Linked DNA regions of Rattus norvegicus. The protein of the gene in region 3 interacts with the protein of the main gene of each other region in a biochemical or structural test. Links are inferred from orthologs where the notes say so. Each region holds a gene or a part of one and is shown on either strand. Other genes may lie near its edges. The genes, in order: Ptk6, Fer and Erbb3.

Region 1 (3,749 bases), on a different chromosome or scaffold from region 3:
GCACTTGTGTGCACAGACATGCACTGAAATACAAGTGCATGTTTGATAGATATTTTCCACACACAACTGTGCACTCACATTGCACTGACCATGTCCTCATGTTGCACACTTGTGTGTGTACCCATCCGTGCACTCACATTCTCATACTAACCCGAGCTTGCATACACTCTGATAAGCACGCCCTTATGTACATGCACAGACACGGTAGCCCCCATGCTCATACTCTCCCATTCAAAGCCATTTTATCATACTGGCTTCCAACCAAAGGGATGGAGATATGCCTGAACTGAACTACAGGTGAAAGTCCTTGGAATTCCATGGGTGATCTCTGCCCTCGGAGTCTCCAACTCCCTCAAGAGCTGTCAGATCATAGGCTCCACGTAAGAGTTTAACATCTAGGGCTGGAGAGATGGCTCAGTGGTTAAGAGCACTGACTGCTCTTTCAGATGTCCTGAGTTCAATTCCCAGCAACCACATGGTGGCTCACAACCATCTGTAATGGGATCTGATGCCCTTTTCGGGTGTGTCTGAAGACAGCTACAGTGTACTTATATATAATAAATAAGTAAATCTTTTTTTTAAAAAAAGAGTTTAACATCTAGCTCAAGCCCTTGAAGCCCACCTGCTCGGGTCCTGCAGAGTACAGAATCTGCCCCACTCTCCCCTCTGACCACTTTGCCTCCTCTGCTTTGCCCCTCCCCTCCTCTGACATGTTTGCCTGTGCTAGATTCTCAGGACCTCAGGGCCTTTGCCCTTGCTATATTGGCCACATGGTCTTTGTCTCTGTCTCTGTCTCTGTCTCTGTCTCTGTCTCTCTCTCTCTGTCTCTATCTGTCTGATCTCTCTCTCTCTCTCTCTCTCTCTCTCTCACACACACACACACACACACACACACACTCACACACACACCAGGCTGCCCTGGAATTTAGTGATAAACACCTGCCTTTACCTCCCGAGTGTTCAAGGCACCTGGCTCTCCTCATTCTTTTATGCGCACCACCCATGCCTACCTCACTTCTGTCTTGAGTCTCTGTCTCTGGAACTGTCCTAGGTACTATTTAGTATTCGTTTCTTGTTTGTGTGTTCACAATCTTCATTGAGCACCATAGGTACTCACTGTGAGATGAGGCATTGGGGGGGTCTCAAGAGCAAAACAGTAAGAAACCGCTGCTGCTGGACCCTTCATAGCCTTAGCCCAGAGCAACCTACGTAGCTTGGGTCCTTGGGTGCCTGTGAACATGCCCATACTAGTCACTATTGTAGTTCCTCAAAGCCTCCAAGGGCTCAGATATGTGGGAGGCCAAGAACAGTGGACTAGGGTGCCTCAGAGAACATGTAAACACTTACCACTGTGGTGTTTGCAACATATGCCCCCTGCCAGGTGATATAAATAGGTGTGCCCCAGCAGCCTTCTTTCTCCCTAGTTAACTAAGTTGCACATCTGGTTTTGGCTGTTTGGAAAATGAGCAAACTTCACACCCCCAACAGCTCTTGAATTCCCACACAGATCTTGTCCCTCACAGACAACATCTTAAAATTCCACATCAGGCCCCTCTGGACCCATCTGGGTCCTAGCAGAGCAGTACTTATGGCTGGGAAGTGATCATAGGTGAGTCCAAAATAGAGACCCTGTCCCCAAGTGTTGCTCAGAAGCATAGCCCCATCAGCAACACTGTGTACCAGAATGTTAAGGATCAGAGTATGACCAGCTGAATGTCAAGTAGGATCTTACACCCTCTGGCCTCCCCAGTCCATTCCAGTGCCCACGGACACCCACCCCTCCCTCTGTGCCAACTCCCCAGGGCCACTCACGGTTCAGACTCCACAGTTTCCTTCTCAGCCAGGTAGTTGTGGGGCACGTAGCCCTCAGCCAAGGCCTTGCCTTCCGCATCCAGCAGGGTGGCCCACCACCACTGTTCCTCCTTCCTGGTAACATGGAGGAGGTCTCCTGCCTGAAAGCTCAGCTCCTCGTCCGTTCGTGCTTTGAAGTCCCAGAGGCCCACATACTTAGGACCCAGGTGAGCCTTGTCCAAAGACACCATGGCAGGCTTAGTGGCAGAGCCAACTGTGGCCTACTTGTAGACACTTACTGCTGGGAGAGGTAGGAGGAACTTTTCCCAGAAAGCCAGTCACACCTACTTCCTTATGATGGGCAGGAGAGCAGCCACACCCGGCACTGATTGGAGATGGACTAACCTAGCTCCACCCTGAAGGCCCTTCTAGCCCCTGTTTGTTCTTTTATCTACAGGATAAGACCATGCTATGTGTTCACACTCGGTGAAAGCCTGTCAGCTAAACAACCCCTTGACAAGACCTAGCCACAGTTACACAGAATACCCTATTAGATGGGGAGCACACAGGTATCAACTGAAGCCTTGTCCCCTTGAGGTGTGAGTCTTGGAGCTAAAGGAAGGGGAGGGGAGCAGTGGAGGGAGATTTCAAAGATGGTGGGCAGGTTGCTAGAACAGAGTAGAGAGTAAAGCAATGGCTCTTCTACATGCAAACAAAAACAAACTCCCTTACACTGGCTGGTCCCTCCTGCCAAAGGAGAAAGCGTCCCCCTGAAAGACTTGACATTCATGACCGCCGCCTCCCTGAGCAGGTGTCCACCCTCTAGATGCTAACAGGACTAGATCTAGGCATGGTATCAAGGAAATCGGGCAGGGCATGAGTTGGAGACAAAGAAGAAACTGGTGGGGCTTGAGGGGGTGAGGGTTGCATGAGACCTGTGAACTTAAAGAACATACCCCAGCCTGAGCTTCTGCCACAACTCAGGTTCCTTGAGCTGAGGACATTCAGATACAGTCTATCCTGGAGAAGCCAGCCATGACAGCATGCTAGACCACAGCATGACAGCTGGAGAGCCAAAGGGAACCAAGGGGTATGAGGGCATGACCATCTGTGTGTGTCGTGAGCTGGGTTAGAATGCTTTCTGATATCTTGGAGATGTGTCTGTGGTCCATAGACCTCAGATCAAGAAGCAAGTATTGTCCTATCCTCCAGATAAGGACACAAAAGGGGCAGACACAAAGGGTGAGTAATGGCTAGGAAGGGCCCACACCACCAGGGCCTCTACAGCTCCACCACCCTCTTTCCCAGGTTTCCCTCCTGCTCTGCGGCCCCCAGGGTCTCTCTCTCTCTCTCTTTTTTTTTTTTTTTTTGAGCTGGGGACCGAACCCAGGGCCTTGCAGTTGCTAGGCAAGCGCTCTACCACTGAGCTAAATCCCCAACCCCCCCCCCCCGGGCCTCTTTTAATTCACCTCCCATGCTACCCAATCCCTAGTAGCCCTACTTGTGACTGTTCCAGTCTGTCCCTCCTCCTCCTGTTGAACCTTGAGAGCTCCAAGGATTCCCTGTCTCCAGAGTGGCCCTGGCAACCCTTCTCACTCTGGCTGATCCTGTTGTGTTCATGATTGGGTGATCCTGCACACCCAGGACGGGAAAGGAAATTGAAAAGTCTATAAGGGTGAGTGACCTGGGAAATAATGATTTTTTTTTCTTTTTCTTTCTTTTTTCTTTTTTAAGGTGGGGGAGTGCTGTGGTGGTGGTGGGAGTGGGGGTGGTGGTGGGGGATGCTACTTCATGCTGAGGATCAAATTCTGGCCCACATGTTGAATGAATGTTCTACTTCCGAGAACTGTGCCAGGCCTCGCGTTTTCTTTCATGGAAGAGACAAAGCACTACCCACTTCCTATTGGGATTAAGAACAGCAACATGCATTACTCAGTAGCTTCACACCTACCCAGCCT
Region 2 (3,649 bases), on a different chromosome or scaffold from region 3:
ATCTATAACAATCAACTGGATACAAGTCTCTCTCCAATTTCAATGTCTTTCCCATTTGTACACTGCTCATGTTGCACAGCCCTCAAAGAAAGAGCCCTGCCATTCCCAGCCCAGCTCCCCCAGCTGTCAACATGCTGAAAGGCCCACCAGGCTCCCTGCTGCGCTGTGCTCCAGGTCCCTAAGGTGCTGTGTGAAACACATAACACTCCCTGCGCAGTCTGACCTCACAGTCCCTTAGTGCATCAAAGAATCGTGCGCGATAGATCTCACAGGTAAAATGTCTAAAGCGAGCTCTGAGCTAGTGGTCTGGCCCCTCAGAGGGGAGCGAAGATTTTCTGAGAAGGGACGTAAAGCTTTAACCAGTCCCAAGCTTTCAACGCACTGTAAACCTACACTCAAAACTAAAACTCTGACTCACTCCCAAATGCTAGACCTCTTCCTTGATGTCTACATCCTCAAATCTTTTGCCAGAACTTTTCAAAGTATGATCCTCACATCTTTCAAGATAAATTGGGAAAGAGAGAAAACAAATTAGGCCATTTGTATCCTAGCAAACGCTGAGCAGAAAGGTAATGTGTCTTCATAAAATTAAGGGAAGTCTATATTTCAGCTAGATTGCCAGGAGTTACTGGTGCTCACAGAAGCAATTTGTCCCTGACTTTGGCACATACCCTAAAAGCTTTCTTCTGTGACAAATGCTAACAAAGTAAGTATTCTTTTTTAAAAAATAAAAGAAACAAGGTCTCAGCCCTACCTTTGGAATAGGATTCAGCAGAACCACCCCCGACTTCTTGGTGATGACTTGCTTTGTATTGAAGTGGTGATCTATAAGTTGAGGGATATTTGAAAAGCCGGTGCCCTCAAATCGATATAGATTCTGGAGAGAGAACAACAACATAGAATTATCAGGAAGACATTGTTTCAGAAAAAAAAATGATCTTATCCAGAAGTTAAGTTCTGTTAGAAGAGCTGTCCGTGTACAGCATCATAAATATACAACAATACTCAACTACAAACTTAACAGATAGCAAAATATTAAAATAGACAGAAACATTAGACTCAACAATCTACTGCCAAATATTCTGGAATTCAGAAAAAATTCCAGGCTAAACATAACTCACATTGTTATTATAGCAAGAGGAAAGGCTAATGGAGCTCAACTGCATTGTATGAAAATGGTGACTAAAGCAAATAAGGCAGGTGCCCACTCACGTTTAAGCAGAAGGAAGACGTTACATACGTCTCCATGTATGCTCCCTTCCATAAACTTTCAGTACCAAAATACTGTCAAAGGTTCGAGGGAGTCTAATAAAACAATACCTAAGATACTCATTTCTTACTTGCTAATACAATGGGTTTTTCTACAGTAGGACCTCAATGGACCACTGATATATATAAAGATGCAAACATCATTCACACGAGAGATAAAGCTAAAGAAATAAAGACGAGCATCAGTGATAAGCCTTTGAGATCAGCAGGCTCAGAGCCTGGTATCTTTTTAGAGGTACTTTGTTATTTCAGTGTGTGTGTGTGTGTGTGTGTGTGTGTGTGTGTGTGTGTGTGTGTGTGTGTGTCCCCGTGTCCACAGAAGCCATAAAAGGGTGGCGGATTGCCCCAGGCTGGAGTTACAGGTGGGTGTGAGACATTTAGCATAGATGCTGGGGGAATCCAACTCAGGTCCAGAAGCTATCTCTCCATTCCCAAGTTTACTTATGATTTGTATTGTCTGTCTCCCTTGTAGATTGCAGGCACTGTAGGCAAAAGACTCATTTATTTATCACTCAGTATAAGAGCCCTGTGGTCTGGTACAGTCTGTGGCCTGCAGAAAGAAACATGTGAATGACGTACAATGCCTTCAGTGTTGTGAAGAGAACAAAACAGTTTATACATGGTTCACACACTCATGAGCACAAGATGTTATATGTGCAATGTTTAACGAACAAAGTGAAGTTCACACACAATGAAATCTCACATCCACCCTACTCTGAGTCTTATGCATCCCTAGAACTTCACAACTACCTAATAAAACCTTAGATTTTCTGTTTCCCTTTCTTAATTTAAGAACATTTCAAAATTTGGAATTACTAATTTTACAAAAATTATTGTAATACCTGTGAGGTTCTCAGCACCCTAACATGGTATAAAACCAGTCCATTCCCCTTCTTGGACAGGAAGACACATCGATGGATATAAAGGCATTAAGATATCATCAATGTCGTGTAAGCAAATAAAAGAGAGAAGAGAATGCTCCCGGTGTTTTGGGTTGTTCCTTTACTCTCAAGGCCCCATATGCTGCACTAGATGTGGCTTCAAAGGGATCTGAGTCCCTCCTGCTCCTCTGACCTAACCCCACAGAGAATGGTTCAGCTTGATGATACTATGGCAGGCAGCAAAGGAAGCCTAACGTGGGCCGCTTTGTTGGTTGGTTTGATTGATTTGATTTCTTTGGGACGGAATCTTGCCATGTTCCCCAGGCTGGCCCTGAAAAAGGTCGTTGCTTGCTCAGTACCTCCTGGGAAGTAAGGCTTCGGAATGGCTAAGTCTGACAGTATACTAGAGGTGTAGAAAATGACATGACGTAGCTATTGCCTTGCCCTACTGATGTCAGAATGATTGCTGTGCAATGGGAAACATAATCCTAACTACACAGGATAAGCCACAAGTTTGGAACTGCTATGCAAAAATATGTTGGCATTTTACTGCACACAAGGAGACCCACAGCATGAATTTAAAATGTAGCTTTAAAGAGCCCAGAGACTGCAGTAATGAATCTAAGTAATTCGTACATTTAATTACCTCAAAGTGAACTTGATACTTGATCAATATCTATCTCTCTCCATTTTTTAATTAAAAAGAATATGCAGTTGGTCAAAGCTTTGGGCACATATTCACCACAATCTGATGCTCTCACTCACGACTGTCAGGTGCCAAGTAACCTGAAGTGGGCCTTCCATCACCCGGACGCTCATTTCTTCATGCTGAGTACAGTAAGACCCTTCTATTTGACGTGTACAGTGCAGTGTTGTACATTAAACTCTACCTACTCTGCCATGAGAGCCAGGACTTCCCGTTTCCAATACAGACACTGCACCACTGTACCCGTGGACCGACCTCTCCTGCTTTTACTCTCTCTGCTGTTCAAAGCTTCTGTAGTGACTACACAACTCCAGGCTTCCACACAGCGAGTGTCTTCTACTTGGACTATTTTACCTAATAGCACTATCCTAGCATATCAGTGTTATTAGCCCTGACAGGATTGATGACATTTGTGTGACTGAACAGTGCCCAGGTGCCTGTGCCCCACCACCTTCTCTTCACATATCTCCTGGACAACTGGGTGATTTCACATCCTGGCTATTCTGAATAGTGTAGAGAAAACCATGGACATGTCTCCTTCTAACACGTTCTTCATTTCAATTAGTCATCTGATCCAAGACACAGGGTGGGATCATGTCACAGCTCCCTCTCTGGTTGTCTTGGAGGCACCGCACTGATCTCTGGTTGTCTGGGACTCCTCGCACTGATCTCCACAATGACCACGCTAGTTGACATTCCCAACAAAATGTATGCTTCTTTCTCCACTTCCTCCCAGCTTCAGCTCTCAAGTCTGTCTTCTGAAAAGCAGATGTGTTCCCAGTGGTCTAACTGA
Region 3 (3,678 bases):
AAAAATTGTAGCAGGAGAGTGGGGACATGGCGCACTTGGGAGGTGGAAGCAGAAAGATCGACCATTCAGAGTTCAACACCAGTGTCAGTCACATAATATACTCGAGGCCAGCCTGAGCTCTATGAGCTATATGAGACCTTGTTTCAAAACCAAAAAAAAAAAATAAACAAAAGAAAAGAAAAGATTGTAGTCCATAGTCTTCGCCCAGGGGGAGGGGACAATAAATTCTCAAAATCTTGGAATGCCAATGTAAGGGTTGCGAAATGCAAGGGGTTGGGCACCAGGGGGCGCCAGTCGGACCCGTCCGGGACCCAGCAACCCTGGGTCCCGTGGGCCATGTGCGGTGACTTCTCCGCTCCCCTCCTCACTGTCGTCTCCCAGTGTGAGCGTTGCTGTGCCCTTTTGGGTCCGCGGAGGAGAGGCGGGAACCGCGGCCGCCCGGACGGCGCGGTCGGTCCCTCGGAGACAGCTGTTCTCTCGGGCGGCCGTGGGGGGCAGCAGAGGGGACGGCGACAGGTGCGGGAGCCCCTCCCCGGGCTGAAGTGGGAAGGCGGACTCCCCGGTCTGTTCCCAGGCTGGAAACCGCCCCCGCCCCCCAGGCAAATCCCCCCAGAGGCCGAGCCGGCGCCGGGTCTGCCGGAGGAAGCGGCCGGAGACAGTGCAATTTCACGCGGTCTCCGGGGCTCGGGTTCCCGAGCTGGGTACATGAGTTACGGGGCTTTGCGTCCCGGGGAAACTGAGGTGGCATGAACGCTAGGCTAAAAAACAACCTCCCACTCGAAAAAACTGAAATACTCACACTACGAAAGAAGGAAAAAAAAAATCCCTCAAGTGATCCAACCGGCTAGGGGAGTTGAGTGATTTGGTTAATGGGCGAGGCCAGCTTTCTGGGGGCTGGGCTTCGGAGCGCTCTCCTTACCCGCAGTCACTACCTTTCCCCGGCCTGGGGTCGTTTGGAATCTTGATCTCCTCTGAACCATCTCCGGAGGGAATTGCTGGAGTAAGACCCCTCCTTGACCCTCTTGGCCAGGCTGCGGGCTGGCGGAGCACCTTTGGGCGGGTGTCCCGGGCTACAACCATCAGGACTTCAGCCTCGCACGGGAGGGGGCGCGGCCGTGACTCACCCCCTTCCCCCTTCGCTCCGTCCCTCCCTCCCAGACAGACACCCTCCCCTGCCGCCCCGCTCCGGACTCTGACTCCGGCTCCAGTTGCAGTTTGCAACCTCCGCTGCGGCCGCAGCTACCTATTCGCTGGCTGTTCAGGTGGCTTTCGCTTCGATGTCCTCCTAATCTTGGGGCCCCCGGGCCAGACTCGGCAGGGCTCCCTTCACCATCCGCTGGAATCATGAGGGCGACTGGGACTCTGCAGGTGCTGTGCTTCCTTCTCAGCCTGGCCCGGGGTTCCGAGATGGGCAACTCTCAGGCAGGTAAGCCGCGCGGGAGCCCCAGAAGTCTGGAAGCTGGGAGCGTGTGACCTGAACGCTCGCAGACCCTGGGCAAGGAGTTCGGGCACTGACTCTTTGAACTGGGGAGTGTGTGTGGGGGGGGGGTGCGACACCGGGTCTGCTCGCACCACCAAGGAGGGGGCCGTGTGCCTCGGTTCTTGGAGTGGAGCTTTCTGGGGGCTGGGACTGCATTCCTGGATGCCTACCCTTCTTCCCAGGGCGTCGCTGACCCTCTAATTGGTCTTATTCTGATTTGGTTAATGAAGAACAGTAGATTCACACTTGAGAGCCTTGGGAGGAGGGCGGGCAGGGACCCTTCTGTAAACGTAAGGAGCCTTGACTTGAAGGGTCTCAGTTTGTTCTCAGGTTCCCTGGCCCCCACCCCATCCCAGGTTTCAACAACCCCCCAGTTTCGTTGTTTTGCTGACAGGGCGGGGCTATGCAAGGGTTGGAAGTTGTTGTTTTCTAATGTTGGAAAAACAAGAGTGGCACCTCCTCTTCCGTGAGTGGGGCTGTCCTGAGAAGGCTGAGATTAACCTGAGGGCCAAGTCCAGGTGACATCAGTGAGAGGTCTCACAGAGCTGGCTGCCTGCTTTCCCATAAGATAAGCCGGTCCCCCAACTTAACCAACGTCTCTTTATCAAGACCCAGGTCAATTCAGTTAACATGTTGGGCATCTATTACACACTACACTATTTCCAGGGTATTATACCCTATTCTGGGGCTGTGGGGAAAAAGACAATCAGACCTATTTCTCTCTCCAATCTGAGGTCACTTCTCCCACCTTCTGAACATTCTATTCTGTGAACTGGCTCCCAGACCCAACTTGTGCCCTCCCCCCATTCGGTGCCATATGAGCCCTTTCCTACGGGTGTCTCTGGGACTACAGACACCTGAAGAACACCGGAGTTGGTATAATTAGAGTCCTGTTGATCTTGCTCCCCCCACCCCACCCCAAGATCTCTGCTTGGGGGTTGGCACAGTCAGTGCCCCTTCCGCAGAGTGGGAGTGGGAGAAACCACCTGTGCTTCCCCCACAGTTGCTGGGCCTAAATTTAGCCCCTGGGATCTTGAGATGTGAACACTCCCAGCTGGTGGAGGGGGTGGTCTGGGACTGGGGGGAGGGCCAGGGGAGTGACTGGAACACAGTTCCATCTGACTGCCCCCACCAACCAGAACCCAAGAGTCCGGGACTCCCACCACCCTCCTCAAGAGGCAGGGAGCAGGCATGCTTGCTTGTCTACCCTTTATCTTCCTCCTGAGCCTCTGGGCATCCGGCCCTGTCTCAAGCCTTGTATAGCCCCTTTGTCCCCTTGTGTATGTGGCAATAGAGGGGAGGCATCTGAGGGGCTGGAGGCTCTTGGTCTGTGCAGTCAATACTCTCTACAGAGAAAGGCTCCGACTTTGATCCTTTGCTCCTCTGTGAGCGTTGTCCACCCTACCCCCACCCGGTATTTTTCACTGCTTCCTTGCCGTGATCCCCAGGTTGCTTGGTCCCTCCTGGGTGGTTGTTTATGCTCCCGTCCTGTCCGCCTGCGCCCTTTGCCCCTGTTTGTGGGATCTGGACTTTACCCTCAGGGTGGCAGGTAACTGAGCCCTGTAGGGCTTTGCAAAGCACAAGACACAAAGTGTGCAAGGCATTGTGGGCAGGCAGGATGGACTGGCCCCTTGTAATGCTTCTGAGTATGGGTTCCAGGGCAAACACTATCTATTTCTGTGCCAGGGTAACTGTGTACATGTTTGTGTGTCAGTCGTACATGTGTGACACTACGCACGCACGCACAGGTACACATCACTTCCCTGTGCAGATATCCTAGCTCCTCCCCTATCTGAGAAGGGTTGGCACCTTAACTTGGAAGAGGGGTGTCCTGCCAGGAAGGGGACAGGGGTGGGGCTGTTCCAGAAATGACTAACCTTCCTAGTCTTTTATTTCAGCCCAAGGACCCTGGAGTTCCCAGGTTCCTCTGGGAGCTTCTAGCTTCTTGCTGGAACTGGCCCACTCTTTCCATCATGGAGAGAGGATAGGGAAGATGATCTAGAAGGGGTCAAACTAGACATGTACCTAACAAGAGAAACTGGGCTTTCTGACTCTCTCTCTCTCTCTCTCTCTCTCTCTCTCTCTCTCTCTCTCTCTCTCTCTCTCTCCCTGCCCCGCCTCAGGGAAGGGTGGTTAGAACAGGTGGTGTACCCCTTACCCCCACCCTCCTCTCCATGTGCTTTTACTGCACCACAGGA

Evidence for each region.
Region 1: the proteins of Erbb3 (region 3) and Ptk6 form a complex in vitro, tested with the Homo sapiens proteins (2 studies listed by BioGRID and IntAct, with this or other methods). The link is inferred for Rattus norvegicus from reciprocal best matches to the Homo sapiens genes ERBB3 and PTK6.
Region 2: the proteins of Erbb3 (region 3) and Fer form a complex in vitro, tested with the Homo sapiens proteins (2 studies listed by BioGRID and IntAct, with this or other methods). The link is inferred for Rattus norvegicus from reciprocal best matches to the Homo sapiens genes ERBB3 and FER.

What each region holds. Positions count from the first base shown.
Region 1 is NC_086021.1:188,690,892-188,694,640, forward strand, and holds the start of Ptk6 (protein-tyrosine kinase 6), read right to left. Parts: upstream 2,334-3,749; 5' UTR 2,043-2,333; coding exon 1,813-2,042; intron 1-1,812. UniProt on the Homo sapiens protein: Non-receptor tyrosine-protein kinase implicated in the regulation of a variety of signaling pathways that control the differentiation and maintenance of normal epithelia, as well as tumor growth.
Region 2 is NC_086027.1:111,106,827-111,110,475, reverse strand, and holds part of Fer (tyrosine-protein kinase Fer), read right to left. Parts: intron 878-3,649; coding exon 755-877; intron 1-754. UniProt on the Homo sapiens protein: Tyrosine-protein kinase that acts downstream of cell surface receptors for growth factors and plays a role in the regulation of the actin cytoskeleton, microtubule assembly, lamellipodia formation, cell adhesion, cell migration and chemotaxis.
Region 3 is NC_086025.1:1,597,580-1,601,257, reverse strand, and holds the start of Erbb3 (receptor tyrosine-protein kinase erbB-3), read left to right. Parts: upstream 1-878; 5' UTR 879-1,000; intron 1,001-1,158; 5' UTR 1,159-1,344; coding exon 1,345-1,426; intron 1,427-3,585; exon of another isoform or gene 3,586-3,678. UniProt on the Homo sapiens protein: Tyrosine-protein kinase that plays an essential role as cell surface receptor for neuregulins.